Linked DNA regions of Sus scrofa. The protein of the gene in region 4 interacts with the protein of the main gene of each other region in a pairwise test. Links are inferred from orthologs where the notes say so. Each region holds a gene or a part of one and is shown on either strand. Other genes may lie near its edges. The genes, in order: EXOSC8, RANBP3, SEPT6, MORN4, HMMR, SSX2IP and BEND3.

Evidence for each region.
Region 1: the proteins of MORN4 (region 4) and EXOSC8 interact in binary tests that used the Homo sapiens proteins (3 or more experiments, as listed by UniProt). The two-hybrid records come from large-scale screens. The link is inferred for Sus scrofa from reciprocal best matches to the Homo sapiens genes MORN4 and EXOSC8.
Region 2: the proteins of MORN4 (region 4) and RANBP3 interact in a two-hybrid assay, tested with the Homo sapiens proteins (2 studies listed by BioGRID). The two-hybrid records come from large-scale screens. The link is inferred for Sus scrofa from reciprocal best matches to the Homo sapiens genes MORN4 and RANBP3.
Region 3: the proteins of MORN4 (region 4) and SEPT6 interact in binary tests that used the Homo sapiens proteins (3 or more experiments, as listed by UniProt). The two-hybrid records come from large-scale screens. The link is inferred for Sus scrofa from reciprocal best matches to the Homo sapiens genes MORN4 and SEPTIN6.
Region 5: the proteins of MORN4 (region 4) and HMMR interact in binary tests that used the Homo sapiens proteins (3 or more experiments, as listed by UniProt). The two-hybrid records come from large-scale screens. The link is inferred for Sus scrofa from reciprocal best matches to the Homo sapiens genes MORN4 and HMMR.
Region 6: the proteins of MORN4 (region 4) and SSX2IP interact in binary tests that used the Homo sapiens proteins (3 or more experiments, as listed by UniProt). The two-hybrid records come from large-scale screens. The link is inferred for Sus scrofa from reciprocal best matches to the Homo sapiens genes MORN4 and SSX2IP.
Region 7: the proteins of MORN4 (region 4) and BEND3 interact in binary tests that used the Homo sapiens proteins (3 or more experiments, as listed by UniProt). The two-hybrid records come from large-scale screens. The link is inferred for Sus scrofa from reciprocal best matches to the Homo sapiens genes MORN4 and BEND3.

Annotation. Positions count from the first base shown.
Region 1 is NC_010453.5:12,815,597-12,819,994, reverse strand, and holds the start of EXOSC8 (exosome complex component RRP43), read right to left. Parts: upstream 2,915-4,398; 5' UTR 2,866-2,914; coding exon 2,849-2,865; intron 1,736-2,848; coding exon 1,699-1,735; intron 1,464-1,698; coding exon 1,400-1,463; intron 1-1,399. Other genes in the region: ALG5 (dolichyl-phosphate beta-glucosyltransferase), read left to right, coding at 4,053-4,118. UniProt on the Homo sapiens protein: Non-catalytic component of the RNA exosome complex which has 3'->5' exoribonuclease activity and participates in a multitude of cellular RNA processing and degradation events.
Region 2 is NC_010444.4:73,107,907-73,111,830, reverse strand, and holds part of RANBP3 (ran-binding protein 3), read right to left. Parts: intron 2,635-3,924; coding exon 2,569-2,634; intron 1,700-2,568; coding exon 1,607-1,699; intron 371-1,606; coding exon 252-370; intron 1-251. UniProt on the Homo sapiens protein: Acts as a cofactor for XPO1/CRM1-mediated nuclear export, perhaps as export complex scaffolding protein. Bound to XPO1/CRM1, stabilizes the XPO1/CRM1-cargo interaction. In the absence of Ran-bound GTP prevents binding of XPO1/CRM1 to the nuclear pore complex.
Region 3 is NC_010461.5:98,043,251-98,047,174, reverse strand, and holds part of SEPT6 (septin-6), read left to right. Parts: intron 1-555; coding exon 556-688; intron 689-3,214; coding exon 3,215-3,405; intron 3,406-3,924. UniProt on the Homo sapiens protein: Filament-forming cytoskeletal GTPase. Required for normal organization of the actin cytoskeleton. Involved in cytokinesis. May play a role in HCV RNA replication.
Region 4 is NC_010456.5:108,996,528-109,001,004, forward strand, and holds the start of MORN4 (MORN repeat-containing protein 4), read right to left. Parts: upstream 3,084-4,477; 5' UTR 2,929-3,083; intron 2,910-2,928; exon of another isoform or gene 2,725-2,909; intron 2,545-2,724; 5' UTR 2,465-2,544; coding exon 2,452-2,464; intron 1-2,451. UniProt on the Homo sapiens protein: Plays a role in promoting axonal degeneration following neuronal injury by toxic insult or trauma.
Region 5 is NC_010458.4:60,311,253-60,315,176, forward strand, and holds part of HMMR (hyaluronan mediated motility receptor), read right to left. Parts: intron 3,287-3,924; coding exon 3,212-3,286; intron 3,081-3,211; coding exon 2,902-3,080; intron 1,994-2,901; coding exon 1,845-1,993; intron 1-1,844. UniProt on the Homo sapiens protein: Receptor for hyaluronic acid (HA). Involved in cell motility. When hyaluronan binds to HMMR, the phosphorylation of a number of proteins, including PTK2/FAK1 occurs.
Region 6 is NC_010448.4:129,047,840-129,052,288, reverse strand, and holds the start of SSX2IP (afadin- and alpha-actinin-binding protein), read right to left. Parts: upstream 3,104-4,449; 5' UTR 3,083-3,103; intron 1-3,082. UniProt on the Homo sapiens protein: Belongs to an adhesion system, which plays a role in the organization of homotypic, interneuronal and heterotypic cell-cell adherens junctions (AJs).
Region 7 is NC_010443.5:73,204,097-73,208,020, forward strand, and holds part of BEND3 (BEN domain-containing protein 3), read right to left. Parts: intron 1,170-3,924; 5' UTR 1,159-1,169; coding exon 1,122-1,158; intron 343-1,121; coding exon 128-342; intron 1-127. UniProt on the Homo sapiens protein: Transcriptional repressor which associates with the NoRC (nucleolar remodeling complex) complex and plays a key role in repressing rDNA transcription.

The DNA.
Region 1 (4,398 bases), on a different chromosome or scaffold from region 4:
ATGATCCACAGTTGGTTGAATCCTTGATGCAGAACCCGAGATATGGAGTACCCATTGTAAAATTATACTTGGATTTTCAACTGTGTGAGGATTGCCACCCCTAATCCCCTCGTTGTTTAAAGGCCAACAGTACCATTTTAGGAATTATTCATGGAGTTCCCGTCCTGGAGCAGTGGTTAACGAATCCGACTAGGAACCAGGAGGTTGCGGGTTCGGTCCCTGCCCTTGCTCAGTGGGTTAACGATCCGGTGTTGCCGTGAGCTGTGGTGTAGGTTGCAGACGCGGCTCGGATCCCATGTTGCTGTGGCTCTGGCATAGGCTGGTGGCTAAGGCTCCGACTCGACCCCTAGCCTGGGAACCTCCATATGCCGTGGGAGCGGCCCAACGAAATAGCAAAGACAAAAAAAAAAAAGAATTATTCCTTGAATTTGAGTTAATCATTTATTGTTCAGTCACAGGACTGTTACACAGATTAAAATCTCTTGACAAAATCATTGTAATCCCTTAAACGTGGTACAATTTGTCTGAAATACTGTTTAAATGGCTCAGGGGCTAAAACTTGGGCATGTCATATAGGTATAATGAGAAAATTCTATGTTTGCAATAGAAGATTTAATAAATTTAAGATATATGAGAAAACCATATCTTAAAATTTTTTCTTTTTTCTTTTGTCTTTTTTGTCTTTTTAGGGCCACACTCATGGCATATGGAGGTTCCCAGGCTGGGGGTCCAATCGGAGCTGTAGCCACTGGCCTACGCCACAGCCACAGCAATGCAGGATCCAAGCCGCCCATCTACGACCTACACACAGCTTCAGACAACACTGGATCCTTAACCCACTGAGTGAGGCCAGGGTGGAACCGAAACCTCATGGTTCCTAGTCGGATTCATTTCCACTGTACCATGATGGGAACTCCCACATCTCAAGATTTTTTTAAAGGAAGGGGCGAAACACTACAGTTACTTTAAAATTTAAAATGAACATACCAGGAGTTCCCGTCATGGCTCAGTGGTTAACGAATCTGACTAGGAACCATGAGGTTGAGGGTTCGATCCCTGGCCTTGCTCAGTGGGTTAAGGATCCAACATTGCCGTGAGCTGTGGTGTAGGTTGCAGACACGGCTCCGGTCTGGCGTAGCTGTGGCTCTGGCGTAGGCCGGCGGCTACAGCTCCGATAGACCCCTAGCCTGGGAACCTCCATATGCCGTAGGAGCGGCCCTAGAAAAAGGCAAAAAGACAAAAAAAATTTAAAAATAATAAAATGAACATACCAGTTGAGAGAATGATGCATTTAAAACTTAACAAGTAAAAATTTACTAGTATAAAAAAACAAGAAAAATTCTATTTTCAGAACTGAAGCAACCTCAACACTGTATTTTAGAACTCAAAATATCCTCACCTACATTGACAGTTGTGGTTCTGAATTCACCAAGTTCTCTTCCATCAGGTCGGCAGTTCTCTTTCTAAATAAATACACAAAAGTAGATTACATACATGTGTATTTTACACGCACCAGGAAATACACATTAAACTTCAACTCAAGTAAATCTGGATTACTTGAAAACTGTCTTTAACAATTGAGGCATAACTGACATTTAACATTAATTTCGCTATACAACATATGACTTATTTGTATTTATGAAAAAAGCATACATCATTATCAAAAGGCATAACATGTACATAACCACCTTTACTTACTAAAAATCTCCTGTAATACTCCAGAGGTTCCACAGTTCTGAAACATATAAATATTAAGATAAAGAATCTTAATATGAATTCAGAAACTTGGCTAAAATCTTAAGAGTGTGGTGATGGAGCAGAAATCTCCAAAATTGGTAACTAAGTTTCTTAAGTTCTAATGTTTATGTTGCCACATGTTACTGATTATAAAAAGCAGATACCTTGCCACAGCAATCACACTCAAGTGCGGTCCTTAATTCTGCCTTAAACAAGTAGAAAGTTGGAGCCCAAGACCCTGGGGCATCTTTAAAGAGAATTAATCCAAGTGTGAAAATAACATCACTCTCCTCTGAAGCAGGGATTCTCCGTGAATGGTAAAATTTACATATTTATTTTTCACTACCCATTCCGCCACTGAAATTCAGCATATTCTTCAATTATGACTAGGTAGTAAACCATTATGAGCCGTACCTGCGACTTTAACAACCACAGATAGCAAATGTTTTCGTTATCACTTTGTAGTTGTCGAAGATATATGTAATACTCATGTTACTTCGAAATACTAGACTCCCCACTAAACCCTGTTTAAGAAAGTTAATTCTAAAACAGATCTATCTCACTATGCCATAAACTTGGAGTTTATATACAAATAGACAACTGTTTCAATATAATTGGTTTTCTTTGGAATTCCATTTCTTTTATCCACTTAAAACTAGACTCTGAAAAGAAAAATGTATAGGCTTCTCCAGAGTGGCACTAAAAACACCTAAAACCTTCCGAGTAAGGCACAAAAGCTTTCAAAAGTAAACTACGGAAGACTGAGAGAGAGAGAGAGCAGGGTGGCATGTGGCCCGGGCGGAACACTTTTTAGGAGATTCCCAACGTCTCCTGGGCTGCATGTCGCTACACACCAAGCCAGAGCGCTTGCAGCGCTTGCAGCGCTTGCAACGCCACACAGTCCTTCCAGCACAGCCTCACTGGGGGAGGACGCCCCCGTTCCTTTCACTACGACCCCCTCCAGTCCTCCCGCCCGTCGCCTACTTCCGTGATGGAAGGAAGTGGGCGTCCGGTGGGATGGTCTCTCGGTGAGAAAAATCCCACCTAAAGAGTAAATGAAGCTGCAATCCGCTAGGATACGAACTCCCGCCCGCCGTGCAGCCACACTCACTTGAACCCGGCCGCCATCTTCCCGCCCGCGCGCCTGCGCCTGCGCCTGCGCCTGCGCCTGCGCCTGGGTATCGCCTCACCTCTGGCCCGCGCAGCTGCTCCGCCGCGGCACTTTCAACACTGATGTTTGTTTGTGCCTTTCTGCTGCCTGGTATCTGGAAGGCAGAGTACAATGGGGGAGAGCTAAGCCAGGCGGGGCGGGGATTGTTTCCTGCATGCCTTCCCTTCGACCGCCACTAGCCAGACGCCCTTCAAGGTTTCCTTGCTTTTGGCGTGTTTTGACGAATCGGCTATTAGAGAAGTGACCAGTGTCTGTTTAGAAACTGTGGTAGTTCAAGACTCAGGAGAAAACCTACCTTACATCAGAGGATCAAGTATTTGAGTGTGGAGCATTACTCCAGTGTTTCAGCATCCTTTTCCCGCCCCCTTCTTGACTGGGCCCTGGGCTTGCCTCCTCCCAGGTAAAGTCCTCCCTGCTCCAGCACGGAAGAATCACCTAAATTTTCTGCTCGCTCCTTATCCGCACCAAGCAACCTGACCGGGCTCCAAAGGAGCAGTTTTGTTGTAGACTGTGTCATGGTTCAAGACCTACACCTCCCTCTTAGATAGGGTTGCCAGATAAAATACAGGGCATCCAACTCAATTTGAATGTCAGATAAAGAGTAGTTTGTTACTGTGGGTACAAGAAAAAATTTTCACTTGATTAGTTGCTACCAGAAGCTGGGGAATAACTGGGAAAGTTTTAGAAATAGTGACGATGGTTGAAAGAAATTGTAAATGCAATTAATGTCGTTGTAGTGTACACGTAAAGTGTATAGAGTGCCAAATTTTATGTTTTACATTATCAGAGTTTGAAAAAATTAATGTGTGGATTGTATGGTATGTGAGTTGTATTTTAATAATGCTGTTAAATAAAACGATTCGTTGCTTATCTGAAATTCAAATTAAATGGATATCCTGTACTTTTATTTGTTAAATCTGGCAACCCTGCTACTGTGGAACTGAGTGAGCGCCTGCCCCTCGCAAGGACTGAGCGTCTCTCACACCGCTAAGTATTCCTCGCCTCGCCGCGCGGCGGCGCTGTGGGCGGCGGGCGCCCGACCGGCGCGGCCTCTCTGCGGGCGGGAGGCGGGGCCCGCGGCTGCACTTCCGCGTGTGTGTAGGCGCTGCAGAGGGCGGGCGGCGGCGGCCTCTGGGCATGGAGTATGGTTCCGCTCCTGCTGCAGTTGGCCGTGCTTGGCGCGGGGCTGGCGGCCGCAGCCCTAATTCTGGTGAGGAGAGGGGTTGGGGACCGACGCGGGTGCGGGTGGAGACTCGGCCCCCAGGCATCCTCTCCTCCGCACTGCCGGTTCTTCGACGTGTCCCTTGAACCATGCTTCACCTAAGCTCCGACCCCAGAATTTCTTCTGCTAGAATTTTACGCATCTTTCTAACGTTCTTTATTTTTATCTTGGAGCTTTATTTCCCTGCGTGTCCAGAGCCTAGAACTTGGGTTCACTGGGCCATGCCCACCCTGTCTTCTTTCGCCCCCTAGTCTCCGGACCCTCTGCC
Region 2 (3,924 bases), on a different chromosome or scaffold from region 4:
GCACATTTTGGGCAATCTGGCCCTCAAAGGCAGAACCCTGCTTATGGCCCCTTTCTCCGGGAACCCTGGAGTTCCTGGCAGTCTGGCAGCTTCGCCAGTTGCAGTTACACATTGATTCCTCTAAGCAAATCCAGACACCTTAGCAGAGGCCAGCTCGGACCCTGCTCAGAGCGGCTGATGGCCCATTGGCTCAGCCAGGCCCTGAGAAGCCACACAGGCAGTGCGCGCTCCCTGCCCCACTGCGGACAGACCTCAAGTGCTGGCACCTCATCAGATGGACTTCTCCGGGCGGGGTTGTCAGGTGAGGCCAATGTCACTGCCCCTGTGCAGTCTGCCGGGACACTGACCCCGTTGGTGCCGGTGCTCGGGACTGTGGGGAGAAAAAAGATAGTGGGTACCTCGGAGGGTAGCTCTGGACCACCTTCCAAGCTCCCTCCTACCATTTGGCCAACGGTATAATGTCTCCTTTTTTAAGGAAATGATCTGGCATCACGACTAAAAGTCACAAATTCTTAGGTTAAAAGAAACTCTAAACTAAAACCTCACAAAAGTGAGACTCCCATACCCCCCCCTTTTTTTCCTTTTAGGGCCACACCCACGGCACATGGAAGTTCCCAGGCTAGGGGTCAAATTAGAGCTATAGCTGCCAGCCTATACCACAGTCACAGCCACACCAACACGGGATCCGAGCCACGTGTGCAACCTACACTACAGCTCACGGCAAGGCCAAATCCATAACCCACTGAGCTAGGCCAAGGATCAAACCCACATCCTGAAGACACTATGTCGGGTTCTCAACCTGCTGAGCCACAATGGGAACTCCAAGAATTCCTTATTGTTTATTCCACAAAGAACCATGTGGCTTTTCTGTGTATTTAGAAATGATACGGTTAGGAGGAAAAAAAGAAAAAAAAAGAAAATATATTTGGGGGAGAATTATGAGTTTTACAAAACACATTTTACTAATAAGTCCTTATTCTATGCAGTTTCCTATTTAATAGTTGAAATTATGTGACACACACAACTTTAAATCTGGCCTTGACTATTTAGCATCAGACCAAAAAAAATTCCCACATAATAAAAACTCTTCAGAAACAGTAACTATTTTTCTAGGCAGGATGTTGCACTCCTCCTGATAAAGAGCTCTTGAACAGGAGAGAAAGATTAAGAGGAAGAGAATAGCTTATTAGTATTTAAATAAAAAATAAGGATTAACGGAAAACCACAGCCTGTGTGGATATAACGAAAACATGGTTTCAGAGCTCAGTCTCCAGGTTGGCAGGTGAGGTGAGAAAGCACATCTCATCAACCATCTGCTTTCTCACACACACAGGGCTGAGTTTTGCCTGTGAACACGTAGGGACAAATCTGGAGTCTGAGCTCAGCGAGGTGCTGCTCTCTCTCGGGAAGCCAGGGTGCGCTCGGAGCATGCCCCTGAGCACTGCAGGGAGTGGGTGGAACTGCCTGTCTTCAGTGCTCACGGGGACTTGAGGGATTGTCCCCGGTGCTCTTTACTTCCTGTGCATTCAGCAGAGCGGGCCAAAGCCACCCATGTGAAACAGAGTTCTCCCTGCCAGGAGCCCAGGGGCCAGGGCGAGTGACTCACCGGTCTGTGAGAGTGCCTTTGGCTGAGGAGCTTGTAACACTGCTGGGCGAAGCACGCTCCGCTGCTGCTCCTTGGGCTTCTGGCTCGGCAGACCTGGGAACAGAGAGTGGCTGGCTTGCCTCGGGCCCTTGGACCATGTGGCCAAGGGGAGATGCAACACCACCCCGCCTCACTGGCTCTCAGGCACTTTATAGAAAAGTTAACCCCAGTAACCACTTGATGTCAGGGGAGCACATTAAAACAAACCCAAGATACTTACTTTACAGCTCGACATAAAAATCCTAGCTTTTGTTATTTTTATATGTGATTAAATGAAACCCCCACACAACCAATCATGTCTTCAAATTAATCCAGTGAGCACAGTAATGCTATGAGGGAGCCAAGGGGCAGCTATCCAAGTGGAGGCCTCAAGGGTCAAGTGCAGATGGTGAGGGGAAGGCAGCAAAGGCACAGCTGACCAGTCAGTTTAGGACTCTGCCTGGGGTGCAGACAGGGCCCCTTGCACCTGCTTCTCAAAATGCCACGTTGAGAAAATCCCTCGGCCAAACTTATGGGGCAGAGACCACAAGACACTTCAGGCCCTGCAGGGGCTTCCCGCTGCATCAGATGTGCCTAATGGCACCATCGCTGAGCCCCACTCACTAGCAGCCACTGCATCTTGGACACCCTAATCAAGGTTAGAGTTGCAGCATGCTGTGGCCAGAACACTCTGGAGAGAGCCTGACAAACTGAGCTACTACCGGGCACAGAGCCCAGATGACCCACGCCAAGTCACGCCTGCTCCCCTGTGGCCGCCTACTTAGGGCAGCAGGCTCACAGGCAGGAGAACCTTCCTGGTCTGACAGGCTCTTCCCAGTGCTCCCGTGTCAGGAAGTGAGCAGAGGCCAGAGCGCACAGACAAAAGAGGCTGCAAAGGTGGCGAGAAAGCCACTCCACGCTCCTCCTCAGAGGAGGACACCTACCTGCACTGGGTGCCTGGCCGTGGATCAGTGTTGGCGGCTTCAACCGGAATCCACTGCTCTTTTCCTCTACAAGCATAAGATGAAAGATAAAAAGCAGGCCTGCCTGGGGTGGGGCAACAAAGCTGGGAGGGAACAGGAGCAGAAGAGTACTCAGGTCTGGATCAGTGACCATGGCGCTGGAGAACTAGGGAAAATACTTCCGACTTAAAACAGCAAAGCAGAAGCCCAACCAATCCCCTAGTCTGTACAGCAGCCCAGGGAGGAGGCAGAGGGCTGCAGGCAGCACTGGCTCTGGGGAAAACTGCTGGCAACAGAAGACTGGAGGGCGAGTGCAGGGCTGGTTAAGCCATGGGCACCTACCCAGCTGCCTACCAGGGGCTGAGAGGTGGAGACTGTGCTGCCCTTGCGGGTCCAGCGGAATGTCAGGGAGCCAGAGTAACGGTCCCTGGGACCCGGCTCCCTTTCCAGGAGGACATGGCCGCAGTCAGGAAAAGCCTCTGTCCTACCAGCAGATGTCTGGAAGATGAGATGCGTTTTCTGTGGTGAAAGATCAAAGGTGGCAGAGAGCAGGCTTGCTCTCTCTCCAGATGTGTGTGGGGAGCTTCACCTTGTCACGAAGAAAGCACTGGAAGGCCCAGGAGGAGGAGGAGGCAGGCTTTCCTGCAGGACTGACGGGGAACAGAGCTGACAAATATAGGGGCTCCTGGGGAGCTCAGGGCATGGTTTTCAGCTCAGCCACTGGGGCACACAGATCCTTTAATCCTTGTGTCGTGATGACCCTGCCCATTGCAGGAGGAGGGGAGAGGGGTCGTCTAATGAAATCCCTGACCAGAAGGACCAGCACAAAAAGCCCCGTGTTTCCAAGAGGACAGGTTTCTACTGAGAAGAGCACAAGGACAGCAGCACTTTGGGCCCCAAAGGTAGCCTTGCCTTTGTGCCTAAGGTCCAACCCATGAGGAAAAAACCCTTGTCAGTTGCAGGGAACAAGATTAAACACAAACATCAGTTGTGTGTTTTCACACACGAGCAGTGAACAATCCAAAAGTGAAGTTAAGAAAACAATTCCATTTACAATAGCACCAAAGAGAAAAAAAAAAAAAACAAAAACAAAACCTGGGAATAAATTTAACAAACGAAAACTATAAAACATGTTGGAAGAAATGTAAAGGCTTAATAGAAAGATACCCCAAAAGGTCCCACAGTGCATGATTTCATTTATATGAAATGTCCAGAGCAGGCGAATCCATGGAGACAGAAAGTGGACTCACGGTTGCCAGAAGACAAAGTGGGGAGTGACTGCTTGAGGGATTGGGTCTCTTTTTGGAGTGACAAGAACATTCTAAAATATATTATGGT
Region 3 (3,924 bases), on a different chromosome or scaffold from region 4:
CATCTCCCACTAGACTGTGAGTTCCTTCATGGCTCTAGATATTGCGTGACTAGCGTGCTGTCACCTGATCCTGTGTCCAGCACATGGGGGAATCTCATCACGTGCCTGTTGAAATCATTCACTAATGGGATCCGTTTCAGAGCCAGGACCTGGCAGCATAGTGCAGTGAAAGGACCTAGATTATGAGACAAGAGACCCAGCATCTGGTCCCAGCTCTGCCGCTAGCTGTGTGATCTTCAGCTGGTCACTTCACTTCTCTGAGCCTGTTTCCTTATCTGTTAAATCAGGGTATAGAAACAGATGTGCTAAGCCTCTCCCAATTCCAAACAGCTCTCTGGTTTCCCAGGGCTGCCCCATTCCTCTCCCCCAGCACCCCATGACCATGCTATCACGTGTGCCAAGCCAGGTGGCCACACCTTTGTGGTTCTGCTTTTGTGTGTCTCCCAGAATTGAGGGAGGGAGAATGGGGAAACCCAGCGAGGATCACGGGGGGCTTGTTTTGATCGAACAGGAGCCATTCCAAAAGCAGGGGAAATAACCCGACCACGTGTGCAGTTTACAGGAGACGTATGAGGCCAAAAGGAATGAGTTCCTAGGAGAGCTCCAGAAAAAGGAAGAAGAGATGAGACAGATGTTCGTCCAGAGAGTCAAAGAGAAAGAAGCTGAACTTAAAGAGGCAGAGAAAGAGGTAAATGTGAGCCTGTGTGCGTGGTGGGAAGAAAAAGGCAGCTGAACTTGGGCAAGACAGAGATTTCTGCCCCGAGACAGGAGCGGGGGAGTCTTAAGCAGCCTCTGGGCAGGGATGGGGCACACAGTATCTGTAGCCCAGCCTTAGCTGGCACAGAGGCAGCTGCAAGATCCGGATCTTCTTGATCCCTCATTCCCCAAGGCCCAGAGGTTTTTTCCTTCTCTGTCATTTAATTCTATAGAGCCGCACTGTCCCATATGGTAGCGGCTACCCTGTGTGACCATTTAAATTTAAATGAATTGAAGTTAAATAAGATTTAAAACTCAGTTTACCAGTTGCATTGGCCACATTTCAAATGCTCAACCCTCATGCAACTAGTGGCTACCCGATAGGAACATTTCCATCACCGCAAAAAGGTCTTGTCGGCCACCACCGCTTGAGAGTCAAGACCTGGAAGTGCCCGTACGGTGCAGCAGGCCAAGGAGCCAGCGTTGCTGCAGCTGTGGAGTAGGTCACAACGGCAGCATGGGTGGGTTCGAATCCTGACCTGGGAACTTCCAGATACCTTGGGTGCGCCCCTCTCCGCCCCAAAAAGAGTCAAGATCTGACATAGCCCCTGGAGGTCAAGGGCAAGCTGATTGTTTTCCCCCTTTCAGGGAGGTCGGAGCTCAGTAGGGATAGTTGATTGATTTCTTGCCTGGTCTGCCCCATCCTATGTGCTCTGACGGCCGTGGGAAAAGAGGTCCCCAGGAGTCCCAGGTACCTTGCTGAATCCTAAACCAGTGACAGCTGGTGCATTTCCCCATGCACTTGAATATTCTGTTCCATTTCATTCTAGTGTTAAAGAAACATCTGTGCAGCTCGGGCGAGTTTTTAAACGGAGGCTTGATGGTCTATCTGGAGCTTTCATTACTTAAGCCATGACTGATAGAGTGCAGATAGCCCTCTAACCATCACCTTGCCTCTCAGGTCCCACTACTGATTCACCCACTGCCGCCAGATAAATTGGCGTCAGCTGCAGTTTTGGTCATGTTGGCAACTGCTTCAGCTCGCTGGGCCTCGAAACCCACAAAGAAAGGAAGCACTTAATTACTTCCCAAGTCTCTTCCTATTTTAATCTGCTGTGACTCTTCCAGTGTTATTGGCAAAGCCCGTGGCAAGGGTATTGACTTCATTTCAGTTTCACTTTTCAAAAGAAAAATATCCCCCAGTACTTTGAGGAAGAGAGGGGAGGGCATCTCAAAGATAAACAGATGAATGAAAGGCCGGTGAACAAAAGCCAGGTAAAAGCAGCTGAGCTGCAGAGCTCCACTCCTCCCCTGCCCCACGCGGCCAAGAAAAGCCAGTTTGCACGGCAGGTCTGCCGTCCATCTCCACTTACTCTGTGACAGTCCCAGATGCCTGTGGGACACCCGACCTCCTTCGTGATGTGCCCAGAGCAATGCAAACCCTCAATTCCCTCCTAAATCGTCAAAAGAAAGTGAAATGATGCTTGCTCTGCTCTTTCTACTCGGGGGAGTTTATCCCATTCTAGTTTATGACCATTCATACCCCTGGCTCCCTGATCCACTTATCGCAGTGGCATGCTAGAATATTCTAGCTCTTCTCGTTTGGGTCTCTGGCCCTGTTGAGAGCTGGTTAAGCTTCCCCGTGATCAAAGCTGAGGTTTCTGCCCCATCCCACTGTCTCCTTCTTTTATCTCCTCCTGTGTCCAAGGACAAGTGTTTTCTTTGCACAGCTTCGGCATTGCTGGAGTTTTCTCTGCAATCCCTGATGATGCTTGGTGATTGGAGGGGATCAGGAAAGGCAGGGGCCCCTTTCACCTTGAGCGATTTCAGTCTGTGGTCATCTAAAGAATGGTTGGCCTTGGGCGAATTCCTTAACTTCTCTCCTACCTCTGTTTCCCATAAAATGCAGCTAATAACAGAAAACCTACCTCATAGGGTTGTTGTGATGATTAATGAGTTAATACATATAAAGTGCTTATAAAAGTCAGTTCCTGGCCTATAGTAAGCACTTGATAGATGTTCTAGATTATAATCGATGTAGTTATTACTGTATGGGACTCTTTTTTTTTTTATTTATATGCACCCTTAGCACATGGAAGTTCCCGGGTCAGGGGTTGAATCTGAGTTGCAGCTGCAGCACCACTGGATCCTTTAACCCTCCATGTTGGGTCGGGGACCAACCTGCACAACCCGAGCTGCTGCAATCTGATTCTTAACCCACTGCACCAAAGCGGGAACTCCTATGGGGACCCTTTTAAATAAATAAACTGCTTGATTAAGCAGAATGTGCATTTCCCTGACCATATTCAGGAGCAGAAATGAGGAGGTAAAATGCCAAGAGAACTATCCAGAACATGGTGCTCTTTGATGCAGTCATAGCTGTCTCTGGCGGAAATGTCTCAAGTCCCAGGGTCTTGCAGGTCACAGGCCTGCTTGTCCCCCCCACCCCGGGCTCGGCTCAGCTGGGATCTGCTCATGGGGGTGGCCCCCGCCCCAAATCCCTGTGCTTCCCTGCCAGCTGCATGAGAAGTTTGACCGTCTGAAGAAACTACACCAGGACGAGAAAAAGAAGCTGGAGGATAAGAAGAAATCCCTGGATGACGAAGTGAACGCTTTCAAACAGAGAAAGACGGCGGCCGAGCTGCTCCAGTCCCAGGGCTCCCAGGCTGGAGGCTCACAGACGCTGAAAAGAGACAAAGAGAAGAAAAAGTAAGTAGCAGGCTGCTCTGGGGTGAGGGCTTCCTCCTCCTGCTCGTCCCCTCAGGGCAGTGACAGAGGCCAGCTGTGGGCCTATAGGCCCTATACCTGGTGTTCCCATGGGACCTTGGGATTCCCTGAGTTTGGGGAGCTGAGAGTAGGCAGGGCTGTATGTGGCCCCAGAGGCCCAGCCCTCCTGCTCGGCCTCTTGGGAAAGCCCTGCAAACTCCAGGTAGGAGGAAAGTGGGGGAAAGCAAAAGGATCGTGAGAGAGTAGAAAGAAAGGACACAACGAGAAGCTGCAAAGTGACAAGAAAGAGATGAATGAAAAGAAGGCCAGAGAGAGGGTGGCAGAAGCCTCTGGGCACCCTCTTCCCCCCGGTGACTCAAAGGCCTTCTCGCCTGTCCTGAGTCTGAGGTCGTGCACCTCTCCATGCCCGGATACCCCCTCCCCTCCCCACCTTGGTTCTCACGGCCGCAGCCAGCAGAGTTTAAGCGCTGCTGCTGAAGGCTGTAGCCTGGGCCCGATTTC
Region 4 (4,477 bases):
TGAATCATCCTACCCCAGGCACCAGGAGTGAGTGAAGGATGCCTCAGGATGATTCCGGCCCCCAGTTGCTGAGCCTGTACCCCAGCTGAAGTATCATGGAGCAGAGAGAGAACATCCTCATGAGGTTCTCTCCAAATTCCTGACCCAAAGAATCTGTGAGCATCACGTGGCCGTTTTAAGCAGCTGAGTGTGGAGTAACTGGCTATATAGCAATTGTAACCGGAACATCATCTCTGAACCTAACCCTGCCACCATCCTCTCATGTGTTTTCAAAAGCGCATCGGCAAATTCCCATTTCTTTTTGTTCCAGGGAAATACAGCAAACTTCAACACTTGCGGAGTTCCTGTCGTGGTGCAGCGGAAATGAATCCAACTAGGAACCATGAAGGTGCACATTCAATCCCTGGCCTCCCTCAGTGGGTTAAGAATCCAGCATTGCCGTGAGTTGTGGTGTAGGTCCAAGATGCAGCTAAGACCTGGCGTTGCTGTGGCTCTGGAGTAGGCCGGTGGCTACGGCTCTGAATAGACCCCTTCCCTGGGAACCTCCATATGCCGCAGGTGCGGCCCTAAAAAAAAAGACAAAAAACAAAACAAACAAAACAAAAACTTCAACACTTGCTTGTCAAAATGATATCCATTCCCAAGAGCACAATCAGATGTGCTAATGAAAGGAAACACATGTATACTCCATGGGTCTCAGGCCTCGGTGGAACACATTAGACTAGAAACGTCAATGTGCGTCCAAATAATTGATATTGGCATTGCCTGAGACAGCGTCAGGGTTTTCATTTATGACTTTTGTAATTAGCCATGCTAATTAATAGCTGTGTAGCCACTGACCCAAAAAAAGAACTTCATTAGTAACCATGATCACTAAGACAAATCTAGTTTAAAAAAGTATAGCTGTGGAGTTCCCTTCATGGCGCAGTGGTTAACAACTCCGACTAGGAACCATGAGGTTGCAGGTTCGATCCCTGCCCTTGCTCAGTGGGTTAAGGATCCGGTGTTGCTGTGAGCTGTGGTGTGGGTTGCAGATGCGGCTCGGATCCCACGTTGCTGTGGCTCTGGTGTAGGCCAGTGGCTACAGCTCCAATTCAACTCCTAGCCTGGGAACCTCCATATGCTGCAGAAGCGGCCCTAGAAAAGGCAAAAAGACTATATATATATATATATATATATATATATGTAGCTGTGCTGATGAAGATTTTTTAAAAACCCAGTAATTGAATAAGGGATGCAAGTCAGTATTTTTATCAGCCACTCAAAAAATCTTTTCAAAGGAGTTCCCTACTGGCTCGGTGGGTTGGGGATCCAGCAACACACCACTGCCATGGTTCAGGTGGCTACTGTGGCACTGGTTTGATCCCTAGCCCTGGAACTTTTGCATGCCGCTGGTGCAGTAAAAAAAAGAACAACAACAACAAAAAACACCTTTTTTTTTTCAAAGAGAAGAGATGGCCTAGGAGTTTAGGCTTCAGATATACATGTGGAATCTAGTTACAAAGCCAAGACAATTCATGCTTCTAGACAGATGTCCACCCTTTCTCTCTCTTGATAGACAGATTGCAAAGGATCAATCCAAACATTTATCTAAAAGAAAATAACTATTTTATCCCTGTAAGCCAACACACTATCAGTCTACACAACAGACTATATCCATACCATCTTTATGTTCTCCTGCCCCAGACATTTCCAAATAGAACTCAAAGACAGTAAAGAGACCTTTTGTTTTCATTCCATTTGCCTTTTTTTTTTTTATTTCAGAAATCAAACTGGTTAAAAAACATTTATGCATTCCCGGTAACCTGTTTCCAAATTCAGAGGATTAAAAAACCTAACATAAAGGGGAAAAGATTTTCAATTTAAGAATATTTTTTGGAGGCATCTACTATCTACATATACCTTCACAGTGTCCCCTTAAAGCCACCCTCCTCAGGGTATGACAATCTTGTCAAAGTTCTTTCAATTATAAAAGCTCTTAGGCTTTTAGAATCCTAAAAAGAAGAAACTGAAGGCTTTAATGAACAAAGATCAGGCTTGTAAGGAACCCAGAACAAGAGGTCAAGTGTTCTTTTTAAAGTATTTTAAGTGAGCCTAAAATAACTGTCCTTGTTATGAGTCTGTGAGTCTCTTTCACTCATTCTTCCTTGGACTGGAAAAGTAAACAAATGTATGGCCACTAGATAAAAGTCAGCGGGAATACAGTGGGACAGTTTGATGGAAGAAAGTGGGAAGAAAATCCTGACAACAGAAAGGTCAAAACAAAACAAACCAAATAAAAAACCCCAGACGTCTTTGGATGAGAAGGACTGCCGGGACAGTAGAATAGACACTATTCTATTTCATGAGAAAGTAAAATGCCTGGGCCGGGTTCTAACAGAGCCGAATGACTCCCGCTGGTACCAAAACAATTTGGAGTTGCCAGACAGTAGGGATAGCACCATCAACTACCTGATTGAAGCATCCCATTTTCCAAGCCTCGACGTGTGTTGGGGACGTCTCTCCACCAGAGTGTGACAGAGGCGGGCCGGAGCCAACAAAGCCCTAGATTGCAACAAGGCAACAATTCCCCGTCCACCTCCCCATTTCTTCTCCCATCCGGTTCTTGCCTTCCAGCGCCGCTCCTTCTCTCCACCCTGGGTCAGCACTCCCGTGCGGGCGGGGTCTTCCACTCACACAGGTATGGCATCCCCTCCTCATATAGCCCCCACCTACCCCACTCACCATCCTGGACGCCGTGGGCTCTCTCGGGCCTCGGACCCCGCGGTGGAGACGGGAGGCCCAGGTTTGGGACCCTCGAAGAGCCACCGCCCCCACTCCAGGATGGAGCCGCGCTTCACAGCCGCTGTCATCTCAGGATGGGCCCCTCAGTGCCTTCCTCCCCGACCACATTCCCCTGACTCCCTCCCACCCGCGCGGCCAGCCAACCTGGGCTCAACCTTCCGGGATGACCGTCTCGCCCCGACGCGGGGCTCCAGAGGCCCGGACCTCCGCTCCGCCGGGCTCGCCCCTGCCACCTGCCTCTCCGCCACCACCTCCAGTGCCCGCCCGACTTGACGCCGCCATCCCCTGCAGCCGCACCGAGCACAATTCCCGCGGCCCATTGGCTGTTACCTAGGCAACTGGGAGCAACGCCACTTTCCATTGGTCCAGCCCGGGCTCCGCGCCATCTTTGTGTGGGGCGGAGTGTCTAGGGAGCCCCTGGCGGAACATCCTAAAGAAGGGTGGGGCTGACCTAAGGTCCCACCTCATCCACCCATAGAACTCAGGTCTTGCCTGCCTAGAGGCACCCTAGCCGAAATGTTAACCCCCAACCAAACAAAACCAGACCTGTGTCGGACGTAACAGTGACCAACTCCAGCGGCTCGGATCCCACTTAGATCTGCACAGTTGTTAATGGCACCTCCGCGGAGCTGAAGGACAGAACCCCAAATCGGCTTTTGAGGTGCAGTTTTGTAAACTGTAAAGCGCAAGACGGGGCAACTACAGTTTAATGAGTGTCAACCCTGTGCCAGCACTGTGATATCAGGGCACTTTTTTTTGCACTCATTATAGGGATTTATGGTGGTGGTGTCATTACTCATATCCTTTGTATTTAAAATACAGTTTGCTCCAAGATTGGAGCAAATCCTCCCAATAACCATGCACACCAACCGGTTTATCCATATGTTTACTTACCGAGCAATGCGAATGCAGCGTGATGCCAGGTCCTGCCAGGCTGGAATAGAAATGATTACCGCTCTCCTAGGATTTACTGCCTAGCTATGGAGAAGAAAATATTCATGCACACGGAAAAATTCAAGACAATAATTAATTGTGGTGTTTTGTTTTGTTTTTTTGTTTTTTTAGAGCTGCACCGGTGGCATATGGAAGTTTTCAGGCGAGGGGTGGAATCAGAGCTGCAGCTGCCAGCCTACGCTGTAGGCACAGTAATGCCGGATCCGAGCCACTTCTGGACCCTCACCACAATTCACCTGCAACACTGAACCCCAGACTCACTGAGAGAGGCCAGGGTTCAAACCTACATCCATGGATCCTAGTCGGATTCGTTTCTGCTGATCCACAACGGGAACTCCTATAATTAATTTTTAAGAGAAGACAAGCCTACAAAGAGAGTAAGCAAATTATTTTGCTGAATTGGGATTTCCTAGTCTGTCGAATAGGGTTTTTTGTTTTGTTTTGTTTTTTGCTTTTTTAAGGGCTGCACCTGCAGCATATGGAAGTTCCCAGGCTAGGGATCCAATCGGAGCTGTAGCTGCCAGCCTATGCTACAGCAACGCATGATCCCAGCCTCAACTTCGACCTAGGCCACAGCTCACAGTCACAGCCATGCCAGAGCCTTAACCCACTGAGCAAGGCCAGGAATCAAACCCACATCCTCGTGGATACTCGTCCAGGGTTCATAAACCCGATGAGCCACAATGGGAACTCCCAGAATAGGATGTTAATAGTAATAATGACATAGTCTCCCTGACAC
Region 5 (3,924 bases), on a different chromosome or scaffold from region 4:
AATAATTTGTGAGGTTTTCTAAGGACAAATAAAGAAGTATAGCAATGAACACTAAATTCAAGAGCCTCAAGGAAACTTGAAAATTAGAGAGATGTATTCATTTTGTCATGGATTCTATTCAACACTTTAGCATTGTGGTAAATGTTATTTTAGTCTTTTTTCCTATGCAACACACACACACTTCTTAGCAAACTAAAATCATATTCTACAACTGGCTTTTATCACATATTTTTCTCATATGATATTATATAAAAGGAGTTCTATGACTTTTACATATTTTATTTATTTTTGTATTAGAGTATAGTTGATTTACAGTGTTGTGTCAATTTCTGCTGTACAGCATAGGGACCTGGTCATATATATACATATATTGATACTTTTTCTCATATTATCATCCATCATGTTCTATCCCAAGAGATTAGGTATAGTTCCCTGTGCTACACAATAGGACCTCATTGCTTATTCATTCTAAATGTAATAGTTTGCACCTATGAACCCCAAACTCCCTGTCCCTCCCACTTCCTCCTCCTTTAAAGTTATATAAGTAAATACCAATGAATAAATATAAGTAAATCACCATTGTGAAAAAATCCTGACATTACAAAAAAGTGAAAATTGCCTTGATTACTCCCCATCTTAGTTTTCCCATATCAGAGATAACTATTAGTTTGGTACGCTATATTTTCTATGTATTCATATACTTTTAAAAACTTAAATGATATACACTGTGTATGTAAAGATCAGTTAAAATATGATAAAAATGGTTGCTGAGGAGTTTTGTGATGCAGTGGGTTAAAGATCTGGCATTGTCATAGCAGTGGTCCAAGCTAATGCAGTGACAACGCCAGATTCTTAACCCACTCTGCCATAAGAGAACTCCTCAAATGTTCGTATCTAACTTTAAGTGAAAAAAAAAATTATTTCCATTTCTCTAATTACTAGTAAGGTAGAGCATTTCTGATGTTTATAGGCTATATGAATTTCTATTTCTAAGAATTATCAATTTCCATCCTATGCCAAATTTTTTTTTTTTTTTTTTTTTTTTTAGGGCCACACCCGCAGCATATGGAGGTTCCCAGGCTAGGGTTCTACTTAGAGCTACAGCTGCCAGCCACGGCCACAGCCACAGCCACACAGGATCAGAGCCGTGTCTGTGACCTAAGTGTGGCACATTTCTGCTGTGCCACAAATGGGAACTCCTGCCCATTTTTCTAACGAACTATCTTTTTTTTCTCACTGATACACAAAATATTTTCTACGTAATTTGAATTTTTAAAAACTGTCAGTTTTGTTTTTTATCTAAGTAGATACTCTTTTAGGAGTTCCCGTCATGGCTCAGTGGTTAACGAATCCGACTAGGAACCATGAGGTTGCGGGTTCGATCCCTGGCCTTGCTCAGTGGGTTAAAGATCTGGCATTGCCGTGAGCTGTGGTGTAGGTTGCAGATGCAGCTCGGATCCTGCGTTGCTGTGGCTCTGGCGTAGGCTGGCAGCTACAGCTCTGATTAGACCCCTAGCCTGGGAACCTCCATATGCTGTGGGAAGTAGCCTTAGAAAAGGCAAAAAGACAAACAAACCAAAACAAAACAAAAACCAATTTCCTTACTGTGCTTCAACTCTTGCTTGACTTTTTTCACAAAATCAATAAAATAGCCCTGTGGTGAATATCAGTTAACATACCACACACGCATGATTATTTCTTCAGGATAAGACTCTAAAAATGGAATTGTTGGAGCAAAGGATACATACAATTTAATGTAAAGTTTTCCCGATACATAGGGAAATCTATGACCTAAAAGAAGCACAAAGGTTTTGTTTTTTTTTTTTTATATTATAGTCAACTACCTTCTCTTGTTGCAGAAGTGATTCAATTTGCAATACTTTTTGTTGTAGTTCTTCATGTTCTTGTCTTTCAAGGTTAGACCTTTCTTTTAAATTTTGTATTTCAGAATTTAGATTTTCATCCCGACATCTGTCCCTATTGATGAGGTCTCCTAGAAAAGGGAAAAAGTTAACAATGCTGTAATTAGATATTAACTTTGAGAAACCCAGATTCTCATAATATTCTACTATGCTACATTTACCATGTTACAGAGATCAAGTATTTCCAAAGGGGGGGGGACTCTGAAATATGTTTCATTACTCTGTGTAATATAGTATATGCTTTATATAATAAAACCCCCAAACCTAATTCCATCTATCTACCAATTTTAAATGGCCACCCAATGAGGAAGTCAAGAACTGCACATTTGTACATATTTCAATCAGGACAAGCAATATATTGAAATAGAGAACAAACAGTATAAAAGACAAAAATTCCCATACATAGAACAAAACTTTTGTTGTTTATATAATCATTTTTGAAAGCTGTTTTAACATAGTAATACCTTAAAAAATATACTGTAGGGGATAAACAGAAAGATCCTACTATATAACATAGGGAACTATATTCAAAACCTATGATAAATCATAATGGAAAAGAATGTGAAGAAGAGGGAGTTCCCGTCATGGCTCAGGATAATGAACCTGACTAATATCCATGAGGACTCGAGTTCGATCCCTGGTATCACTCAATGGGTTAAGGATCCGGCATTGCCAGTGAGCTGAGGTGTAGGTCGCAGATGCAGCTCAGATCTGGTATTGCTGTCGCTGTGGTGTAGGCCTGCAGCTATAGCTCTGATTCGACCCCTACCCTGGGAACTTCCATGAGCCTCGGGTACAGCCTTTAAAAAAAAAAAAAAAAAAAAAAAAGAAAGTATAACTGAATCACTTTGCTGTAGAGCAGAAATTAAAGGAAAAATCAGCTACACTTCAATAAAGCTAAAAAAAGAAAAGTCTTCTTAGAAAAATTATTTGAGGCAGTCCTTATTTAGAGAAAGTGAAACTATAAACAGGAGAATACCTTTTTCTTTTTCAAGCTGTTGGCATTTAGCATTCAGGTCGTCTACTTGTTTGGACAACATAGCAACATTTTCTTCAATAGACTGCTTAAGGCTTAAAATTTCATGATTCTTCTCTTTCAGATTTTCTTCTAAATGGGCAATATCTAGCTTGTATTTTTCCACTTGATCTGACGCACAACTGCATTAAAACAAATTATGTTGAAGAGCATATCTACCTAAGCACAGGGAACATGAACTAAAAAAGTGATGGAAATGATGTATTCATTATACTTCAACAAATAAGGTCCAATTTAAAACTATTCATATTACCTTATCTCTTCAATATATTCTAAGAGTTTTTCTGTTTCAGATTTTTCATCCATTTTTTCTTTCTCTATTGAAACACTAAAAAAATACGATTATTAATACATACAATAATCACACATAAAGCACACTCTGTACTATTTACCATTGTCTCAGACAGGCAGACTCCAGAGTCCAAACTCCTTTTTTTTTTTTTGGTCTTTTGTCTTTTTTAGGGCTGCACCAGCGGCATATGGAGGTTCCCAGGCTAGGGGTCTAATCAGAGCTGTAGACACCGGCCTACGGTGCAGCCACAGCAACCCAGGATCCGAGCCGAATCTGCGACCTACAACCACAGTTCACTGCAACACTGGATCCTTAACCCACTGAGTGAGGCCAGGGATTGAACCCCCAAACTCACGGTTCCTAGTCGGATTCGTTAACCACTGAGCCATGATGGAAAATCCGAGTCCAAACTCTTAACCATTAATATGAGCTCTTTCGAGTTGACAATTTAATACATGTGAATAGAAGACTCATTTTTTTTTTTTCTTATTCTTTGGTTGCCCTATGGCATAGGGAGTTCCTGGGACAGGGATCAGCTCTGAGCCACGGTTGTGAGCTATGCTGCAGCTGCTACAATGCCGAATCCCTAACCCACTGTGACTGGCCAGGGATGGAACCTGAGTCCTAGTGTTCAAGAGATAGACCCGATTCCACTGAGCCACAGTGGGAACTCC
Region 6 (4,449 bases), on a different chromosome or scaffold from region 4:
ACAATCAAGTATTATTATTTTCCAAAACACATCAAAACTTCCACCCTGGCTCCTCTATAGTCTATATCACAGTGGTCAGAGTAATTCTTTAAAATTCTAATTCATATCATATCATTTTTCTGCTTTGGTCCCTCTCACTCAGTGTTAAAGAAAAAATTCTTTCCATAACTACACGTTTCTTATGACCTGCCCTCCATCTCAGTACCTCTCTGAACTCACACCCTACAATTCTCTCACTTATTCAGCCATTGCCAGCTCACTGTTCCTCATTCTTCCCAGTCACTTTCCTGCCTCAGGACCTTTGCACTATTCCCTCTGCTTGAATGTTCTTTCCCTTAACATCTGTATTACTTATCTCTCCCCTTCCACATCTAACCAAAGTCACCTTCTTTGTGAGGACCAACCTCACAAATATTATTTAAAATTGGAAAAACACCCCTCCAGCTTTCTAAATCTTTCTTACTTTGCTCTTATAATAATCTTCAACCATAATACTTACTTACTTACTTTGTTAATTTTCTTTTTTGGCCTATTTCCCTTGCCTAGAGTGTCAGCCAAGCAGGGAGAGAGGGAGAGAGCATTTTTCTGATTGTTCACTGATATATATATCTCCAGTGTCTAAAAGAGTGCTTGGTGCTTAGTGATTAGTGGCAGATAATTCTTGGTAAATAAATGAATGTGACTTCTAATGGATGTTTTATATTTCAAATAAATCACCTTGGCAGCCTATATACATGTTCCCATAATGCTGCTCAAAAGTATCACATCGGTAGACACTGACTTTTTGAAAAGAATGCTTTCCTTGAGAAGAAGTTATTCAGAGCCAAATCTGATGAACACATTCTGGAGTTGTGTTAAAATGCCAAACCTGTGTTTTCCAACTAAGTTACTGCATTTGAGTGGATAGGGAAAGGTCAAAAAACAAGATGTGTTTGATGTCTAAGACAGTAAACTGACTGTGAACATAATTTCAAAGAAGAATTCTAAAAATATGCACCAGTAACAAGTCGCAGGAAAAGCACACGTGTATTTTAAAACTCTATATGCTTCTGTGTATGTGTGAATGAATCCCTTCCAAACTTTCTGCAGACTTCCATTCTTGCCTCTATTAGATCAGTCTTTCAAAAATGAAACTCAGACCCTCTCAGCCCCCTCTCCCAATTAAGAATCTTTCATGCCTCTCATTGTGTTTAGCATGAAACTGAACTTCCTATCCACTCATGCATGCATGACCTGGCGCCTATAGCCCTCTTAAAACTCTCACTTTTGTACACAAGTGCCAGCCATGGCAGCTCCCTTTTTTCTCCTTTGGTTCTTTGAACGTGCTATTCAGTCTGCCTGGAAGGCTCTGATTCTTTTTCATCATTCAGATCCCATGTCTATAGGTAAAGCAGCCTTTCCAGGTCTGGTTTTATTGGTTTAATCGTTTGCTTGCTGCTCGTCTGTCTCCTCCCACCAGAATGTAAGCCCCATGAAGGTAGGGACTTTGCTGGTCATGTTTGCCTCTGTAGTCCCAGCCCCTCTGTGCCTGCACTACAGGGTTGCTAACCAAACTGTTAATGGTAAGATAGCTTAATATTCTATTAACTTCTGTAATACATTAATTTTTACAAGTTTATATTTTTTAAAATATTTTTATTTTAAGCTCTGATGTTAATATATGTAATAAGTTAATAATCCAACAACCTTTTTTATTAGGGCCTATATGCTGTAGCAGATAAGATGGACTGAATCGCTGCTACTTAATGGCCTCACTTTCATTAACTCTCTGATGTGGCCAGGACTGTCTCTCCAGGGGTGGCAGGGAGGATAAACAAAATCTTGCTGGAATCTGTACTGGGAATTTTTTATTTTTTATTTATTTATTTTTTTGTCTTTTTGCCTTTTCTCGAGCCGCTCCCGGGCATATGGAGGTTCCCAGGCTAGGGGTCCAGTTGGAGCTGTAGCCACCAGCCTACACCAGAGCCACAGCAACGTGGGATCCAAGCCGCGTCTGTGACCTACATCACAGCTCACGGCAACGCCGGATCCTTAACCCGCTGAGCAAGACCAGGGATCGAACCCGGAACCTCATGGTTCCTAGTCGGATTCGTTAACCACTGCACCACAACGGAACTCCCTGTACTGGGAACTTTCATACCTATGGCCTCATTTTATCCACAAGATCAATTTAACCCTGTTCATAATTAACGGCAAAATAGTACAGGACCGATTCCAAGGACAGCAAAACTTCAGAGACGTTGCTGTGGGCTGGAGTGGTCAGGGATCACTCTGCGGAGGAGAGGGACCTGGATAGGGCCTAGGGGCCATTTTCACTCTGCAAGCCTGCCCGTAGGCAGAGGCCAGATCGCTAGCTCTTTCCTGGTCTGAAAGGAGGTCTTACATTTAGCTGGGCTTGGCTCTTCTAGCTAGCTGAGTGAATCTCTGCATCTTGCTGCATGTCCAAAGACAATTCATTTCTAGCCAGTCCCTTTGGATTTGGGTCAGTAGTAGTTCAGCTTGAAATAACAGTTCTGTGCCATTTATAAAGTGCTGGCTGAGTTTGCAGAAAAAGCAGACCACCTCGACCCAAGTAAAGATTCTCAGAAAAGGAAACCATTCCTCATCATTACCTGCCCTGCCACCCTGCCCTACCTGACCTGCCATGCCGCAACACCGTACACAAACACACAGAACAGCAGACAAAATGCCTGATCATTTTCTAGGTGTTCCACTCTTAGTGCTTTAGATTTTTGTCTGGTCTGCTGCGTGTTTTGCCCTACCTTTTGGGAAAGGTTTTGTTGTTGTTGTTTTGTTTTTGTTTGTCTTGGTTTGTTTTTTTTGAGACGCATGATTTTTACCAGACTCTAGCGCTTTGGTTTCCAACTCTCCATTTGTCCCAAGATTCATTAATTTTAAAATATGTCATGTAAAACTTGATTGTGTGGAAATCACTCCAACAGTTAATAAGGTGCTATCATAGAAACGTGATCACGTACCCAACCAAGGTAGTTCTCAAACCCTGTATTTCCAAGATAAAAGCATACCTCCTTTAAGAAATGCAATGAACACACATTTAAGACACACACACACAGAAACTTACCTTGCTGACTACAGTGGCCTCTAAACCCTTCTCACCCAGCAATTAGACTCAGTCTGCTCTTCTAAGCTTGCAAATTTAAACTCTGAGCATTGAGTAGACAACAAAAGTCCCTCCCAGGAAGTATGGGGACTATAAATGACCCAAACTGTTTTTTTAGTTATACTGAAATAAATTTAAAAACCACGGAGCACAAAGATCCAGCATTCACTTGAATAGTTCTGATATAATTCTGCACCAAAACACGCATTTATTTCACACAGTCTTAGTTTCCCTGCTGTTATTTGAAAATTTCCTCAACAGTTTAATGCATATTTATTGAATGATTTAAGACCCTGCTCACAACAGAAACTCAGAGTTTCCCAGGAAAACAGAATAGTGACAGTCTGACATTGTTGTGAAGAGGTACAGTGCACTAGTGCCCTTGAGTCCCATGGCCTGGGCTGAAATGCCAGATCAGCTACCTGGGTCCATGTAACGTCCCTAAGCTCCCAAGCCCACTTGGGGCTTTCTTCCCCTGGGCATTCTGTTTAGTAAACAATAAAGCTTCAGGGTTTAGGTTGTTTGATGATCCCAACCAAAAACATCCTGGGAGCACATTGAAAAAAGAGCTCTCATGAAGTGACCTAAGGGTGTGATATTTCATTTTATTGGTACAAATATACTCACGTGGCACATGTGGAAACAGTCTGGTGAGCAAAAAAGTCAGTGAAAAATGAAGTATAGGAGATTTTTACAAAGGACTGATTGAATGGAATAATTAAATGGAAGCAAGGAAAATGTGGGACCGTGTCTATGCTTTGAATTATAAATATGCATCTCAGATATTAATGGTTTTCTAAATTATATTTTCCTTCTTTACCAATTTAGGCCAGAAAAATTAAGATACATTGATGAAGACAGTTTTGCACAAAATGACTTACTGTTTTGAAATTTTCAGGCCCTAGCACTATGTCTTCTGGCTAGTACTTGCTTTATATTATAGATATATTCCAGCAAAAGTCATGTCTAAATAATGTATTTAGCAATCAAATCATAATCTAAATGTACTAGTGAAACTAGATGTTTAAAATTATGATAAATCTATGTCCATGGTGAATGACACCTTTGTAAAACAATCTCCTATCATCATCTCCGTTCTATAAGATTATATTTTAATATGTTGGATTTTCTTTAAAAGAGTTTTACCTGTCATTACTTAAAACCCAGACTTTTATGTGAAGAGTTTTTGGGAATATACATTTCAGTACAGAAGGCTGAAGTGTTGCAATAAAAAAAATAGTTCTTATCTTTTTATTCTGCAACTGGCAATTCAATTTTACCCTAGTTATACATTTCCATTTATTTCATTATTTATATTTCACACTAGG
Region 7 (3,924 bases), on a different chromosome or scaffold from region 4:
CTTAAGCCAAAGCTGGGAGAGCTGCAATGAAAGCTTCTCGTGCCCAAAGCATTAGCAGCTGCCCGCGTCGTCCCAGTAGAGAGATCCGGCATCTCATCAGAGGGCTGGAGCCTGAGCAAACCCTCACCTCGGGAATCAGCCGCCGCCGCTTCACGCTCGGAACCGGGTCGGGCGGGCCGTCGCCGCCGCCGCTGCCGCTGGGCTGCTTCCTCTTGCTAGAGTCCTGGAGGGCAGTGAAGACGCCGTCCAGAGGGTGCTTCTCGGAGGACCTGGAATTCACCGAGCAGTCCAGGGCAGCATCTTCGGCTTCTGTCTCCACTTTCACAGTGTTATTTTTCAGAACTGTGGCAGAGAGGAAAGAGGGCTCATCAGCGCCGAGATGAGCAGGGTCTCCAGCGGCAGGCTGTATGCAGGCCGCCCTCTGATACAATCACTCAGCAAACAATGTCTGAGTAACCATCACAAACTGCCTTTCCAACCAAGCAATTTGTATCTGGGCACACTAGTGCTATACAATGAAATCATACTCCAAGATCGTTTTGTTCAAAACAGGTTTTAAAGCCTTTTCCTTGGGGGGGTGGGGGGGGGACATGGAAGAAGAGAAGCAAACACTATTCTTTTAAATGATGCTTTTAAAAAATTCCCTGGGGGTCTAGTGGCTAGGATGCGGGCTCTCACTGCTGCTGCCCTGGGTCCACTCAACCCCTGGTCTGGGAACTGAGATCCCACATCAAGCCAGCTGCATGCTGTGGCCAATAAATAAGTAAATAAATAAATATTAAATAAAAAATAAATTAAAAGTAACTCTAGGAGTTCCTTCATGGCTCAGCAGGTTAAGGATCCAGCATTGTTACTGCTATGGCTCTGGTTATAGCTGTACAGAGGGTTAGAGCCTGGCTGGGGAACTTCAGCATGCTGGCCAAAAAAAAAGAAAGAAAAGAAAGAAAGAAACTCTGTAAAGATACACAAAATAAAATCGGTGTGTGGTGGGGGATGGGACTCAGGAGTGAGAGGAGACTTTTCCTTGACTTTCCATCATACATCTTTTAATATTTTGAACGATGGGACTGTATAGCCTAATAAAAGTATTAAGTTAAAATATTTTTAAAGGGTTTTTTTACCTTCTTCTACATCTTCACTGAATTCAGTTGCGTTCATCTTCTATTCCACTAAATGAAAAGACAAAGACAAAGTCTTGATTTATTGTTTATTTGTAAATTTACCTACCCATGAGAAAAACCCTTGCCCTCCCAACCCTGGCTCTGGGTAAGAGAAGGTTAAACCGATATGGCTCTGCGACATCAAGGAAAACTGCATCCTCTTGTTCGCAGTTGCTCAGATGCGGCCAGGCCTCCTGTATGCCTGCTGGGAGGGCTTTTCCAAGACTATGAGGGCAGAACGCATCCTAAAACATCAACTGAGAGCCACTTCCCAAAAAAGCAAACATATTGGAAAAAATCAAGTCTTATGAAAGACCCCAGTTTGGATGATCTGTTACTCCCTGTCGTGTAAATTCTAGCCATAAAATGAAAAGGCTGACTAAGGGTGGAGCCTGTGGACCCCATGATCTAAGCTGAGGTCTTAGGACTCCAGGTGGTCCAAAAAAGACCTGTGCTGTCTATGACACACACTAGTAGCCACTAGTCACATGTGGCTCCCATGGACTCCGAATGGAGATGTGCTGTAAGATACATGCTGAATTTCAAAGACTCAGCACAGCATCAAGAATGTAAAAATCTCATTAGTAAATTTTTATATTGACTATGTGTTAAAATGATAATACTTCAGATTTACTGGGCTAAACTAAATACTTTATTAAAATTAATTTCACTTCTTAATGTGGCTGCTAGAAAACTTTAATCTACATATGTGGCATATTTTTATTAGATGGTGCTGGTCTAGCCCTTTCTTCAGCAACAATGAGGAGAAAGAGGCACTGTGGGTTCCCAGATCTCCTGAGCGCTACACGATCTGGTCCAAACCACCCTTCTTATTGATGAGGGAATGAGGCAGGAGAGGTGGCCTGTATCAGCTGCAAGGTCTGGGGCAGAGCAGCCCCTCACTCTCACTGCCCCAGTGAAATGGAACAGACACTGTGATTAAAAGCACCGCTACAACTTTGAGATTCCCCTAATTACATAACAGTGTGTCCATAAATAGGATAAAGTATAAAAGAGGTCCTTACTTTGGAAAAGACTAGAGCGTTTATTATTTACATTGAGGAGATGCGGTTCCCACAAAGGTAAAGCTGCTTGCAAATTACTGAGTGCCCATTCTGGTTAAGGGTCAGAGGGAAGCAGGCTAAGGAGTAGCTTTAGGAAATTTCTATAAGGAAGAGAAACGTCATCTACAAAGTTCAATAAACTATTCACCCAGCAGCCGTGGAATGGTATGTGGTCCTGCTTCAGATGGACAGATTTGGGGAGGGCAGGAGAGTATGTCTAGGTAATCTGAGCACATGATAATAACTGCAAAAACCACTAATATAGCAACAATAATATAGTGCCATGATGTATGGCAGGCACTATTCTCAGTTATCACAATAACTTCATGATAGGCACAATTCTTTTCATCCCCGTATTACTAACTTTCCAAGGAAATTTAAGATTTATGTGAAATTGAAATTACAATAAAATGAATCCCTACTTACCAAACTATCTCTTATTTGAAAACCATCCCATGCAGGTGAGATGGAGGGCGAATAAATAGTAAATTCAAGAATCCGAGAACTATTTTACCAATGGTGAATTTTAGCAAAGAGAATTTCCACTGTATTCCAAGGAAATAATCCTCATGTTTAGGTGTCTCTGAGGGGAGGGCGGCACGGGCACGTAGGTGGGCATGAGAACTCTTGTCAGGCAGAAAGTCTGGCCCATGCTGGGCAGAAACTCAGGCCTGATTCCCAGGCCAGCCAAGGGGCCTCTCAAGGAAATGATCTGAGCCTCCAACCCTGTGAGGGCCGGAGCTGCGCCCGCCCTGGGAGACCCTGCCTCCCCTGCACATAACCCATCCCCAACAGGGAGGCTCAGGAGGAATGAGCACTGAGTTGCTGGAGAAGGTATAGGGTACAAAACAAACTACATTCTGGAGAGAAGTGGTGGGAAAGGTAGGAGACAGCGGATGGTTTATTTGGGGAGAAAGGGGATCCACAAAGACTCTGGCTGAACAGAAAGCATGAAAAGGATGAGCGAATGCTACAAGAAAAGCCAGGAGTAGGTGAAGAAACAACCCGCGAGAAAAGCATGCACATGGCCGTCTAACACTCCATTTCCGTTTCCGGAAGCGGCGCGGGACCAGGGCGCAGGCGAGGGGCAGGTGAGCCGAAGCCTAAGTGCTGAACCACCACCATGTGACACTAACGTGGGCAATTTAGCACCTGAATTCTGATCTTCCCCTGACTCTCGCGTCAGAAAATGATGAAGGAGGGGTACACCCCTGAGCCACCTGCGGGTGGGAAGAGAGGCCAGAGAAGGCTGAGCAAGCTCACGGGAAGAGGTGAGAAGTGGGGGTGGCGACGGCGGCAGCTTCGTGGACGTTCAGGACACCACAGTGCATCTCCTTTGGAAGACATTTCCAATTTCATTTATAGGCCAGTTGACAGATGGTAGCTTAGCAGAGAAGTAACCTGGAATGCAGTGTGGTGGGCCCCTTCCCTCCTAGCCAGCAAAGAAGCCACAGCTCCTTGGGAAGCCGGGGAATTTCCCATTTGCAAGTCTGGAAAACCAAGTGCATCTGGCTCAAGTGGTGGGGAGTGAGATGAGAATTCTCATTAATATCCACAGCCTGAGAACTTGGGGCCTGGCGCTGCCTGGCCATTTGGTGTGCACCTCCATCTCACCCTAAACTATTTCAATCCCAATTTTGCCGGTAGAAAATATTGGGGGCGTAGTAAATACTTACAATTTTTATTTGTGAACTAGACCG